2 linked regions of the Astyanax mexicanus genome follow. The protein of the gene in region 1 binds, or shares a complex with, the protein of each later gene. Links are inferred from orthologs where the notes say so. Each region holds a gene or a part of one and is shown in the gene's direction. Other genes may lie near its edges.

Region 1 (7,069 bases):
TCATTACAGGACCTCCTTCTCATCCTTCTCACTGTAACTTCGAGACTGGACTGTGTGGCTACACACAGGACAAACACGGTGATGAAGCAGACTGGGTTCTGGCTAAAGGCCCGACACCAACATCCTACACAGGACCAATAGGAGATCACACAACTGGAGTTGGTCTGTTATCCATTTTTTGATTAAACACTCAGATATATAAACATCTCTGGAAAAAATATTAAAGGTCACCTTCCGCGAAAATCCGATTTTTCTTGTTTTTTGTGGAATACAGTAGGTCTCTCTGAGTTGAATGTGTACACCTGCACATTAAACTGTTTTGCAGCCCCCATTGTCTGCAGGAGCTAAGCAAAGAAATCCCCCCTCCCCCCCTCGGGTGAATTTTGAATTATCTTTCTGCCTACGTAGGCAGAAACTCACAGACCAGCCCACCTTGGCTCGAGAAACTCCCAGAGGCGGAGCTGAAGCGACGCAACATCACCGCTCATCAGTTAGGAGGTGGGAGGCAGTGAGCGGCAGAGCGGTGGAGGGGCGTCGCAGTGCTCCTAGCCAATCAGAGGAGAGATATTTGCATGCTGTTTGCATGTATGAATATTCATGAGCAAAGCTGGAATCCGGTCATTTTGGACACACCCCTAAAACAGTCCATTAAAAAAGAGCTATACAGAGACACCTGAGCACTTTTTTTTTACAAAAACGGCTCACATGTCATTCATTCAAACTAGAGACCACAACTAGACATTTTAAAATGAAAGAAAAAACGACGGAAGGTGAGCTTTAAGAGACCACTTTAGTTTCTGAATCAGTTTTCTCTGATTTTGCTATTTGTAGGTATATATTTGAGTAAAAATGAACATTGTTGTTTTATTTATTAACAATATGGCCAACATTACTCCCAAATTCCAAATACAAATATTGTCATTTAGAGCATATTTTTGCAGAAAATGAGAAATGGCTGAAATAACAAAAAAGATGCAAAGCTTTCAGACCTCAAATAAAGCAAAGAAGTAGATCTTCAAAAAGAAGTTCATCTTCATAAAGTTTTAAGAGTTCAGAAAGCAATATTTGGTGGAATAACCCTGGTTTTTAATCACAGTTTTCATGTGTCTTGTCATGTTCTCCTCCACCAGTCTTACACACTGCTTTTTGGATAACTTTATTCCACTCCTGGTGCAAAAATTCAAGCAGTTCATCTTGGTTTGATGGCTTGTGATTATCCATTTACCTCTTGATTATATTCCAGAGCTTTTCAATTTGGTAAAATCAAAGATACTTTTTTCCAGAGCTGTATATATTTCATCTAAATGTTATTAATCATCTTTTTACTGTTTACTCTTAAACCCATTGTTTTGTACTTCAGAATTCTTGCTTGAATTACAGTCCAGTCTGTTTTTCTCATCCAAGGTCACTATTTGCACATCGAGGCCTCCCAGATGTTTGCAGGCCACAGAGCGCGTCTGGTCTCCAGCGTTCTCCGCGGTTCTAAAGGTCCACAGTGCCTGCAGTTCTTTTACCATATGTACGGCTCTGGCACAGGAACGCTGAGCGTCCTGCTGAGCTCAGATCTAGAGGAAGAAGACAGGGTCCTGTGGGTGCACAGCGGAGAACAGGGCATCTCCTGGGTTAGAGCATCAGTGAGCTACCAGTATGATCATTCACACCAAGTAAGAAAACTTAGTTACCCACAATCCACCAGTGTTCATACTTTCAAAGAGATCTTATTTTCATGTAATTGTTACGTATCTTTCTTCTTCTGGTTCAGATCGTTTTTGAAGCTCTCCGGGGGCCGTCTCTACGAAGTGATATTGCGATTGATGACATCATATTTCAAAAGGGACCCTGCAAAGGTATTCCTCGCATTAATGATACACAGATTATAATATGCCTTTTAATCTAAGGTGATATCATGTGATGTCATTCCCAAACTTTAATTATCTCATTTCCACACATAAGGAAATCGTTCCCAAGCCTTAATATTTTGTTCCCACGCATTAGGAATTTGTTCCCAAGCCTTAGTTATCTCGTTCACACGCATTAGGATCTTGTTCACACGCCTTAATTATCTCATTCTAACACATTAGGGTCTTGTTCCCAAGCCTTAATTATGTTGTTCCCACGCATTAGGATCTTGTTCTCAAGCCTTAATAATTTTTTTCCCATACATTAGGATCTCGTTCCCAAGCCTTCATTGTGTTGTTCCCACGCATTAGGATTTTGTTCCAACACCTTAATTATCTCATTCCCACACATTAGGATCTTGTTCTCAAGCCTTAATTATTTTGTTCCCACACATTAGGATTTCAGTTATTAAGTTGGAGCCACGCATTACTTTTTTTTAAACATGATTTCACCATAGGTTCTCCTTTAAGCTTCATTAACAATTCTACCTTTTCTGGCTAGTCTAATATTAGCAATTAGCCTACAGTCAGCTATTGTCTTTTCTCTGGTTAGCATAAGCATTTAGCAATATCTGTTACTGTCCTTTTCTGGTCAGTTTATCTGTATTTTCTAGGCGACAAAAGAAACGAATTTCAGGCATTTACAGCACTTACACATAAAATATAACAACAATATATGAATAGTTTGATGTGTTTGTCTCAATAATACTCAATAATATTAAATGTACAATATTATTCTTGGGCATCTCTAAAACACCCATCAAGGCATTGTAAAAATAATAAACTCTTTCTCTTTCCCTCCCACAGATTCTGACCGGCCAGCATCTGGAGATCTTAACAACATTGAATAAAACATTAAATACAGCACACAGAGGTTAATCGTAATTAACAAAATTTGGGGGAACACTTGAAAAAGAGGAGATGTGTTTTTTGAGTTAGTCAGTCATCCCTGGCTCCTCGCTCTTTGTAACTAACTTGAAAACAAATTTGCTATCTGGATTGGGAGATTAAAGTAGGATTTTACGAGTTTGCTTGTACTATATGATTGCGTCATGATAAAGATTTTTTAATAAAGCTCAGTTCTGCAGTATGTTTGGTTTATACATATCACTGAACTATGGAGTAGATATAGTGTTTATGGAGAATCTTTAATAAAGAGGAAATTATACTGAATTACAAATGTGTTTAAATTCTTTTTAAATACTCTTATTTTATTAGATTTTATTTTTGAACCATTTTCACCATTTCCACCAATGATAAAAAATTGAGTTTAAAACGTGATAAATAAAAAATAAAATGATTATTAAGCATTAGATGATATATGAATGTATCATGATTTCTGGAGGAAAGCTATTGGTGTATAAAATAAGCACCTACCGCCCTCTAGTGAATAAATTGTTTAATACAGTCTATTTCTGTTACATAACTTTAAATGTTGGGAACTCGCCACTAAAATAATATTCCTGCGAGTGCAAAGCAGTAAAGTAAGTCCAGATTATAAAGTCATAAAATTGAATTTTTAACATCGATTTTTTAAACCTCTCTATTAAGTTGAATTTGCGAGAAACTAGTTTTTAAATGTCTTTTTCACTCAAAATGTATATTGTCTTCTATGTTGGAAATCTGTTGGATTTTTATTTTTTTTATTCTGATTTTTTATTAATGATACATTTCAGGTACAGACACTGCTCAGCACATCTTTACCTTATAAAAAGTTCAAAGTTAACATACATAGGTTACATTATTATTATTATTATCAGTAGTAGTATAGTAGTAGTAGTAGTAGCAGCATATTATTATTAGTAGTAGTATTAGTAGTGGTAGTAGTAAATAATTAGTAGTAGCATATGGGCTGGACATTTTAACAGCACATGAAGTTATAAAAAAAGCTTAAATTAAATCAGATCATAAGGGATACAGAGACCAAAAGTATAAATTGCTTTGAGACCAAGATTGCTAAATATTTATTCGAGTAAAACAAGAGAAATGGTTTATACAGTTCAAAAACCTTACTAAAAACAAATATTTTAAATTTGCATTGGTGTATACAGAACGTATTAGATATAATAAATATAACAGTAAATTCCTGGTTTAACTGAATGTTTATCCTTGACCTGAATGAAGAGAGGGACGCGCCAGTCACGTGACCGGCGGCGGCCAATGACAGTGGGCTATGAGGCGCTACAGCGGCGCGAAACGAAAGCGGAGAGGTGCGGGAGAATGGCGCTCCAGAGCAAAAAGAGGAGAATAAGTCACATTTTAACAAACTCTCAGCTTCCCAACAGCCAGAACCTGCTGCTGCCCTGCAGCTCGCAGAATGGCAGCTTCGCCCAGGAGAACGGGCAGAGCGGCCCCTGCGTGGAGGGATCCATTCGCCGCATCACCATGCAAAACTTCCTGTAAGTAGTTAAGCTAGCGCTAGCTAAGCTAACAGGCTAACAGTGTTATACAGCAGCAGCGCTCAGATTCTCTAATATAAATACGAGTTTATTCATGATTTGTAGAGCAGCCTGTGCTGAGTATTTAAACTTCTGTCTATATATTATATTTATGGGTGATGTGTGTAACTGGAGGCGGAGGGTCATGTTTTATATTCTGGGTTGACGTTTGTAAACATTTAATGACAAGTTACTAACCTTGTTAACTAGCGCTAGCATAAATATCTATCTATGTTTATATATAACTATCTATCTACCTAAATATATCTCTATATGCATATATATATATATATATATATATATATATATATATATATATATATATATATATATATATATATATATGTATGTATATGTATATATATATATGTATATATTGCCTAAAAATTATGAGTATGAGTTTCTTTGATTTTACCAAATTAAAAACCTCTGGAATATAATCAAGAGCAAGATGGATGATCACAAGCCATCAAACCAAGCTGAACTGCTTAAATTGTTGCATCAGGAGTGGCAAAACATGATCTAAAAGCAGTGTGTAAGACAGGTGAAGGAGAACATGCCAAGATTCATGAAAACTGTGACCAGGGTTATTCCACCAAATATTGTTTTCTGAACTCTTAAAAAAAACTTTATGAACATGAACTTGTTTTCTTAACATTATTTGAGGTCTGAAAGCTCTGCATCATTTTATTTCAGCACATATGATCACTCAGAGGTTTACCCTGGACCCAACTTAAATATGATAGTGGGAGCCAATGGCACTGGCAAGTCGAGTATTGTCTGTGCCATTTGTCTTGGACTGGCAGGGAAGACTGCTATCCTGGGCAGAGGGGATAAGGTAAGCCCGATAACACTGTTTGTTCTTATTTCATGTAGACTCTTAGGAACACATAATAATATGTTTATGGGTTGTAGGTCTTCGATACCACAAATGAGCCATACATATTGAGCCGAGGTATTCAGACTTGTTTCCTGACATGGGGAGCATCAGCTCTTTGTTTGATGTTGTTTGTTTGATGAACATTATTGCATGTTTTTCATTGTATATTTGTTTTTTCAGGTCAGCTTGTATGTTAAGAGAGGCTGTCATAAAGGATCTGTGGAAATTGAACTGTAAGTATTGTCTGTCTGTCTGTCTGTCCTCGCTTCCTATCTTTAAAGATAGATATAATTTAAAAAATATAGACATAACATTTTATTTATCATTTAATGAACCATTTATTGTGTATTTTTTTGCATGTTTTAAATGTTTAAGTATTTTCTCTGGTATATATTAACACGAACAATATAAGATGTGAGCAGTTGACTAACTATTTCTTAATAGGTCCATCTCTAGGTCGTCTAATGCTTCACCCACTGTTTATTCAGGTACAGGAAAGAGGGAAACTTGGTGATTAACAGGGAGATCCATGTAGAAAATAATCAGAGCGTGTGGATGATGAACGGTAAACACTCCAGTCAGAAGGCTGTGGAAGAAGCAGTCAAGGAGCTCCAGATTCAGGTCGGAAACCTCTGTCAGTTTCTGCCTCAGGTGAGTAACTGTGCAAACTGTTCAATGTGTGTGTGTATATATATATATATACGGGCTTCTTTGAACACTTACCCTTATAACACTGCATTTCAGCGGAGTGGCTTTACTGCTCCTTAATATCAGACTGGTATAATTTATACATAAGGAGCACTGAATTATAAGGCCCACTGTCGATTTTTAGAAAAAAATAAGGATTTTAAGTGCCCCTTATAGGGCAAAAAATACTGTGTGTGTAATTTTTAGCTTGGATCAGTTATATTAAGTGTTAAGAGTGCAAAATTACCATTAGCCGTTAAATACCAAGTTTTGCCTTTACAGTGCTTTCTTCTGCTCAACAGGAGAAAGTTGGTGAATTCGCTAAAATGAGTAAGATTGAGCTTCTTGAAGCCACCGAAAAATCTGTTGGACCACCAGAGATGTACAACTTCCACTGTGAGCTGAAGACCTGTCGCACCAAAGAGAGGGACCTGGAGGTACATTTGTTGTTGTGACTGTTTGTATCAATCTGTGACAAATTGACATGCCGTGATGGTGAAAAGGAGAAATTACTTTTAGAGTAGTTGCGTTTTTACATTCTATTGTCAGTAATGTATGAATTTAGATCATTTAGAGCTAATTCTTAAGGCTATTTTGGTTAATGCATTGTTATGCATTGATATTGTCATGCAGAATGCTCTGTAGTCCAGGACTAGTTTTGAGCCCACTTCAGGGAACCAGCCCTATAAGTGTAACACAGTGTATGAGTGTATAAAGGCAGACGGTAGGCCTGTCATGGTGATTATTATTGCTTAAACTGTATAATAGTTTCAGCAATATTTGCTATACATAACTTTATTGCAACTTCATGATCATTTTATTATGCAATTAAATAACTAAAATAAAAGAAAGCATGCAGTCTGGGATTAAGTCTTTGTGTGGGTATTGTATATTTAAGGAATAATAAGAACTTGCTTTTACATTTTAAAACCAAAATAAATGAAATTTACATCTGATTGATTTAATTTGATTTGAGGGATACTATGCTTATGGGCTATTTTGTGTGTTTCTGTGTTTCTAAAGAATTTGTGTAAAGAGAAGGCCAACTTTCTAGAGAAAGCAAAGCAGAGGAACGAGCGCAATAAGGTGGATGTGGAACGGTACCACATGAAGAGGAGACATCTGGATATGATCCAGATGTTGGAGAAAAAGAAGCCTTGGGTGGT
Region 2 (7,741 bases), on another chromosome or scaffold:
CACTATAGAAATGTCATTGATGAGCCAAAAAAACAAGTTTTTTTAATAGAAAATAGCTGAAATGGTTCAATGTTTTGGCCTTTAAATTGCTGGTTCTCACTACAAATGTACCAATTAATTTAAGCCTGTTTTATTAAGGCAATAAAGATGCTTTCTATAGTTTAATATTGAGCAATGTCTTAGAAGACATTTTTTAAAATGTCATAAAGAACTTTCCTCATAGATTTAAAGGATACTTTATTACATAAAAGTGGTTCTTTCTAATGTAAAGTACTTCACAGCTAAAAATCTAGTGTGAGGAACTTATTTTCCAACCTTAATAATGTCCAAAACATGCTTTTTTGGACACTTCACACTTAGTGTGAAAAGTTTTGTAGTTGAGCTCATTAGAAAAAATTTAAGTGAAACCAATAATATCAAGCAATGAATTTTAAGTGTTTAATTAAGTGTTTAATTTATCACAATTCACAATTTAAACACGTCTTCAAGTGTGCAACATTATGGGGACTTGTTTTAAAATGGACAATTCACATACTCATACTTTCTAATTCTATAGCCATGCTTTTTGCAATGTGTGCATCATGTGCAATCATGTGGATTTGCATTGTCTTGCTGGAAAAAAAAACAGCAAATGCATCTTTTTGAATGAATGAGTAAAATGTCTACAGTAAATCGTCGCTGTCCTATGAAAAACACTTATCTCCATTTTTTGGTAGGTTTTTAGTTTACTACATAATTTGAACAGACAAACTGTCCCTGTGCCACTGTGCCAAAATTTCTTGATGAACGGGCCAATAGAAACACTTCAAAACGACCTGAAATCAAGTCTTCTTACATTGACTTCCACTGAAAGTTTACAAGGTTTTTTCTCTCTCCTGTAAAGTTGCACTTTTTTTTGGAGAGAAGTGTTTTTAATATTCACAAATTTATTAAGTTCGTTTATTATCAGTTTTTCTTATGCAAAACAATGTAAGCGGACTAAAATTGTTTAATTGTGTATTAAATCAGTGCAGATGGTTCTGATTTTAAAGAACCACAGGAGACACTGAGCAGATACTGTACATCATCTCTCTGCACATGATCCACAAGTGTTTCAATTAGTGTGTATAATAACAAATGCATGCACTAGTGTAACTAAGCACTAAGCCAGTGAGAGAGAGAGACACACACACACACACACACTATATACAGCCCAGCAAGCCTTTTTTCCCCTCTGCTTGGCCGTGGTCCCGGCCCATCTGCAGCTTGGCTCACGGATTACTGTTTGTTAATGTTTCAATCAGCTGTGCGCCGAGGAATGTGGAGCTATTTAACCTGAACTTCCCCAGGTGTGCGCCGGCGCCACTCAGTCTGGGCCCGCCTGCCCTTCCCTGCCCTTGGCACAATGCTATCACACAAACACACACTCACACACACAAATCCCTCTCTCTCTCTCTCTCTCTCTCTCTCTCTCTCTCTCTCTCTCTCTTCCCCAGCTGTGTGTGTGCAGCTCGCCGGCGGGAGGGAGGGGGGAACTGGAACAACACAGCACGAGGAGAGTAACAGGAGGAGGAGGAGGGAGGAACTCAACTGCTGTAATTTATGGGGAGTGAAATTAACCTCCCCGCTGCTGAAACAGCTTCGCTTGTAAAGGATTTTTAGGCCCATCTATCTTTATTCTTCTTCTTTTTCTCCTCCTCAAGCAGCTGAAAAATTAGAGAGTTAAACAACACATGTGCAGGGCTGACTGACACCCGCACCCTATGGTTAATACTAGTTCTGTCGACTGATTAAAAAATGTATGAAAATAATCAAATTAATCACGACTAATCACACTTTTTTACCGCAAGACTTTGCTTCCTTAACCCTAGAACACTAATGTTGAAATAATTAGTAACACCATCACTAACGTCGGGTAAACACGATTATAACGATAGAAAATAGAAAAATAGAAAAACGCGCTGCAAATACAACCACAACAAAAAAAAACAAAAAAACAGGAGGACCAGTAAGTTTTTTGGTTTTCTCGGTCACATCACGTTCAGTAGCTCCTCCATTTCCACTCGCTTCTATATTCTAGGACCACAGAGTTTAGTGAAAAACAGTATGTAATTCAGCCTGTAATTTTCTCAGAGGACTGGATTCGTTTCTGAAAATATTACAGGCAGAACTACAATATTTTCCTACAATATTTTAAGTACTATCCAGATGCACATCTCAGAGTTTCGTCACCTCGCGTTTAATAAAATAGCTATTTGTCCACTGCTGCGCACCGTAATTAAAAATAAACATAACAACTAGTGGAAATGGAGGAGCTACTGAACGCGATGTCATGTGATTGAAAAAGCATTAAAAAAAAAGTCCGGATGCAATAGTTTTATCACTGAGTAGAAAAATGTGAAATATTTTAAACAGCCGTCCCCCTGAGAAACTAATCCTGTCCGGATAGTGCTATACATAGTATGTGCGCAAGAGAGAGAAACAGAGTTAGTGAGAGCTTACACTTGGCTATTTAAAAATGAGCAATGACTGGTTAGGGTCCTGGTCATGCAGCTTGTCATCAGCTGCCGAAGCCCTGAGAGAGTACAAATTGGCCTTGCTCTCTCCGGGTAGGTAGATGGCGCTTTTTCCACTCATCACTACTAGGGTGATGTGGATCAGCACAAGGCATCTGTGAGCGAATGTATCGGAGCCAACTATGTAATATTTATAGCCGATAGCCTTTATTATTAAGAAGTAAGAAGTATATTATAACAAAAATGTCATTACTTATTCATTGGAGACAAGACATAAATGGTGGAATTAGTTCAGTGAAGGTAGTCTACTTTTGGAAAGCTATTAAAATTGAATGTCACATTATATTTAAATTATAAATAATAAATGAGCTAAAGTCTTACTGTAGACATAGGCCATTATAGGCCATTAGGTGTAGAATCAAATGATCTGATCAGCTAGGGATGCAGGATTTTACCAAAGCTGGCCCTGCAGCATCATGAGGAGATAATTTAGGCAAAAAGGTTAAATTTCCAAGATGATATTATAAATTATGAAAACACACTAGTAACAATTAACCACATACAATAAAATACAACTGTTTAGCAACACTGAAGCAACGTCATATCAATCCCTACTGAGGCCTAGCCAGAGAATAGGCCAGACTTCAGTAGGTTGTATTGGCCTCACTGTCACTGTTAGTGGACCTAGTCTGGGTCTATAAACTAAGTCCTATACTGCCACCATGTGGAGTAAGGTTGTGTTGGGTTCTGATCAAGGACTGTTTCGTAGGATTATAAACATTTAAGAGATGAAACATAATCTACGTTTTCATTGTCTAACATGTGTTTTGCATGTGAATGATAAGAGTGTACATTTGTGTTATTAATTTTTTTTTCTTTTCACACCTCAAAGTAGTATAGTACAAAATATATAGTACAAAAAACTAATATAAACATTAAAAAACATCGATTGAAAAATGCATAAAAAGCAAACAATACTATTATTTCTACTATTACTACAAAGAAAATGTAATAATAATTGGAAAATAATAATACATAATAACAACGACAAGTAAAATGAGTAAATGTAAATATAATCAGGAGAAGAATGGATGATCACAAGCCATCAAACCAAGCTGAGCTGCTGGAGTAAAGGCATAAAGTTATCCAAAAGCAGTGTGTAAGACTGGTGGAGGAGAACATGATTTCAAGATGCATGAAAACTGTGATTAAAAACCAGAGTTATTCCACCAAATATTGATTTAAGAACTTAATAAATATGAACTTGTTTATTTTGCATTATTTGAGGTCTGAAAGCTCTGGATCTTTTTTGTAATTTCAGCGATTTCTCATTCCCTGCAAATAAATGCTCTAAATGACAATATATAATAGGAAGTTGGGGAAAAAAAACAATGTTTTACTCAAACATATACCTTTAAATAATAAAATCAGAGAAACTGATTCAGAAACTAAAATGGTCTCTTAATTTCGTAATTTATATATAAAAAGCATCCAATACTATTATGTTAACTATTTTTGCTACTGCATTGTAGATTAATACTAGGGTCATCAGAACTATAAAAAAAAATCATGGAATTATTTAGTAAATAGAACGTGTTAAACAAACCAGAATATGTTTCACATTTTACATTCTTAAAAGTAGCACCTCTTGCTTAGATAGACAGTTTTACTCATTTTAGCTGAATTTTCTCAGTCAGCTTTATGAGGTAGAGTCTCCGGGCTTTCTGTGGCTTTCAGTTAACAGCTGTGCTGAACTCATCAAGAGCTAATTACTTGAATTTCTTGTCTCTTAATAAAGTGTTTGAGAGCATCAGTTGTAAAGTAGTGAAGAGGTATATTTACAGGTATACAGTGAATAGTGTATATTTGAGTAAAGTTCTAATCCAGATTATGAGAAGCAAGCACTACTTAGCTACTAAGTAAAGAAAAAATACTTTTAAAGCTTTATCGAGTGTAGTTGCAAAGACGCTATGATGGAACTGGCTCTCATTAGGGAAAAAAAAACATTGACTGAGATTGTGGGTGCAAACTTTTGACTAGTACTGTATATATTACATATAAATAATAAAACAAGAAATAAATACATACTAATATTTAGGAAGACGCCTAGCCCCCCCCCCCCCCCCCCCATCCTGCTTTGTGATTGGCCACCCTAAATACGGGTAGGAATTATTCGCGCGGGACTGTTCTAAAAACGGGTGTGTTAACTTACACGCCGTCGCGATTCAGCCAATCAGATGCCGCGCTTAGCAACCACGTGACCAAACAGACGGAAGTTCCAAACTGCGCGGTGTGCCTTCGTTTTTAGACCTAAATATGAAGTAAAATAGTGTTTATAGGGTTTTATATAAGCGATAAACACTCTTGATTATGTGTAGCACTCTTTAGAACTAATAGTGAGGGGCTCTGTGTGAGTAAATCGGCTTTAAACGCTGTAAATGTGTGATTATTAGCTGTTAGCTGCTGTTAGCTGTTTCTAACGGTGTGTTGTTATGAGCTGCCGGAATGAGGATTTTAACTGTGATTTGAGTTAATTAGAGAGATTTTCTGTAATATCAGGGCTGTAAAAATGTCTCAGAGGAAGAGAGTGGCGCATGCTGGCTCCCAGAACAGAGTACCGAGGGTAAGCAGAGCTGGACATTTAACTTAACTACTGTTTATACCTGATAACTATTGGCAGAAATGACTATTAGCTACCTAGTTAACCCTAACAAGTCTTGACCCAAAACCCTGCTGTATAACAAGTTATTTATATTCTGAAAACTTCTACAGGTCACTTGGAGAAGCTGCCTGTTTTCTCTCTAATTTATTCCACGTAATTTCAGATTAATAACAAAAATTGATATATATAACGGTATATATATATATATATATATATATATATATATATATATATATATATATATATATATATGTGTGTGTGTGATAATATAATATATCAAATTCTACTTGTTTGAAAATAGACACAAAAACTAGACAACTGCCGCAATATAAACGGTTTCATATGTATTGAGGAAAATATTGATTTTAAAATTAAGTTCAGAAAAGCTGCAATTTTCAGATTTTTATTCACTATATTTTGACAATTGCAGATTTAAATTTGTTAAAATATATTTTATATATAAATATAGTATATATTGAAAAAAATAATTAATGTTTTTTATTAAACATGAAACCTTTTTATGTAATGTTTGTATAGAAATCCTTAAGATATAGGGGTGTGATATCAGGCAAAAACTGAAAAAAAAATGCTGGCATTTTAATTTGTTAACTAACAAGTTTTTAACAAGGTTATATAACTGATGTGTGCTCTGTACATAAAACACTGATGCATTTTTACCCTTTGAGTATTTTTTGTTCAATTATTTATTTTACATTTGACCTAGTTTATTTTTTATTGAGTGTTGGACAAAGTACCCAAACCTTGTAGTTAGTTATTATAGGTTGAGTTAAAGAAGAGTTACTGACGATATAAGATAGAAAATATTATTTCAGTAAAAACAAAAGTCTTCCCTTTAGACCTCCTCTTGAGTAAAAGTACATCAGTAACTGCTTGCCTTCAAGTGTACTAAAGTTTTAAAAAAGTAAAAGTACCGTAATTTATCATGACATTCGATCATCAGCTATTATCATTTTCTTAACAAGATTTTAGTTTAAAGAGGTGCTAAACCCCCTGACTTCACTCTCAGATCAAATTTGAAAAAGGCTAAACAATGAGAGGTGTAGTTTGGGAAGGGCACTGGGTGATGTATGGGTTTAGAAGCGGGGCACCTTTAGCATCATCCACTCCTATAGCACAGTTTAACCTGAGAGGACGCTGCAGAGGCAGAAATTACCACAATAAAAGTGTTTTTTAAACAGTGTTCTTTACTGCACTGCATCTTTATATTCCATATATTCCAGGGAGTCTCCAATGTGGGAATTCTGGGCCAGTGCTGATATCCAACTTACACATTTATAACTTATAATATTTATGATTGCAATGTCTGTTCTGCATGTCTTTAAATCTTCACAGCGCTCGCAGCAGGTGGTACTGGACGAGGATGATGATGGTGATGCATCCTACACACAGCCAACATCATCACAGGTCCAGAAGGCCAGGGAGAATTACACACCTGTCCAGGTCGATCGTAAGGTAACTCAGTCTAATTAAATTCAAAACACATACACATAGTGTGTTTTTTTTTTTTTTAATGTGAGCTTATTATGGGATGGGATTATGGTTCGGTCTCTTCTCTGTTCAGTACACTTTGTGTGAACGAAGGACTATTGCATGTAGTTACAGCACCATCATTAATAAATGTTCTGTGTTTTCTAGTGTCTTTACAGGTGCTGGTGAACGAATTAGAATAATTCTAAATAGTGCAAAACTGAAATGAAAATGAAATGAAATGAAATTCTTTGAATGCATTTTTTGTGCAGAAAGCAAATCAGGTGTTCACCGCACCTGTCCTACTCGTTAGACTAATCACAGAACTCGTTACCTGGAAAAAAAATTGCTCAGCTGAGCTTTCCAAAAGGCCCATTTAGGCCATTTAACTGTGACACTGTTGTTTTATTGAATTAGAATAATGGAGAAACTGTTTAATTGAATTAGAATAAATGCTCGAATTTTTGTTTTCTGTGAAGAGTGTTCACTGTGCAGTATAAAGTCAGGGTTGAGTAGAATTTCTAAGTTGTAAAATCAATCATGGGTAAGCAGCGCGACCTCTCTACAGGAATAGTGGCTCAAATTCAAGCCCTTCGCCAACAAGGCTTGACCCAAACTAAAATTGCTGAGCAGCTCGGCATCAGCCAGTCTTCCGTCTGCAAAGCTCTCAAGAAAAACTGCAGCAAGCGCATCAACTGTTCCGGCGTCCGAAAAACTTCTGCTCGCGACAACAAGCAGCCGGTTCAAGTCCACTTCCGAGCTCACCGACTTGTGGAACAAGCAGACCGGCGCTGACGTCTCCAGATCAACCACTTACCGTCGTCTGCGCGAACTCGGCTTCAAATCTCGCGTTCCAGCAGTAAAACCGATGCTGAACAAGAAACAAATGGAGAAACGGCTGAAGTGGGCCAAAGAACACGGCGAGTGGACTGCTGAAGACTGTCAGAAAGTGGTCTTCAGTGACGAATCACGCTTCTGCATCTCCTTCGGTGACCAAGGTCCTCGTGTCTGGCGTCGTGGTGGCAAAACCTACAACCACGAGTGCGTGAAAAGATCCGTCAAGTTTCCCCAGAGCGTTATGGTCTGGGGATGCATG

The links. Proteins that work in one complex are often made in the same cells at the same time.
Region 2: smc5 (region 1) and ndnl2 share a complex: the UniProt entries of both Homo sapiens proteins name them as parts of the SMC5-SMC6 complex. The link is inferred for Astyanax mexicanus from reciprocal best matches to the Homo sapiens genes SMC5 and NSMCE3.

The regions. Positions count from the first base shown.
Region 1 is NC_064427.1:23,098,771-23,105,839, reverse strand, and holds the start of smc5 (structural maintenance of chromosomes protein 5), read left to right. Parts: upstream 1-4,068; 5' UTR 4,069-4,118; coding exon 4,119-4,297; intron 4,298-5,032; coding exon 5,033-5,174; intron 5,175-5,396; coding exon 5,397-5,449; intron 5,450-5,704; coding exon 5,705-5,867; intron 5,868-6,205; coding exon 6,206-6,340; intron 6,341-6,926; coding exon 6,927-7,067; intron 7,068-7,069. Other genes in the region: mamdc2b (MAM domain-containing protein 2), read left to right, coding at 10-162, 1,405-1,664, 1,763-1,847, 2,706-2,749. UniProt on the Homo sapiens protein: Core component of the SMC5-SMC6 complex, a complex involved in repair of DNA double-strand breaks by homologous recombination.
Region 2 is NC_064420.1:45,881,267-45,889,007, reverse strand, and holds the start of ndnl2 (necdin-like 2), read left to right. Parts: upstream 1-4,731; 5' UTR 4,732-5,064; coding exon 5,065-5,118; intron 5,119-6,510; coding exon 6,511-6,630; intron 6,631-7,741. UniProt on the Homo sapiens protein: Component of the SMC5-SMC6 complex, a complex involved in repair of DNA double-strand breaks by homologous recombination. The complex may promote sister chromatid homologous recombination by recruiting the SMC1-SMC3 cohesin complex to double-strand breaks.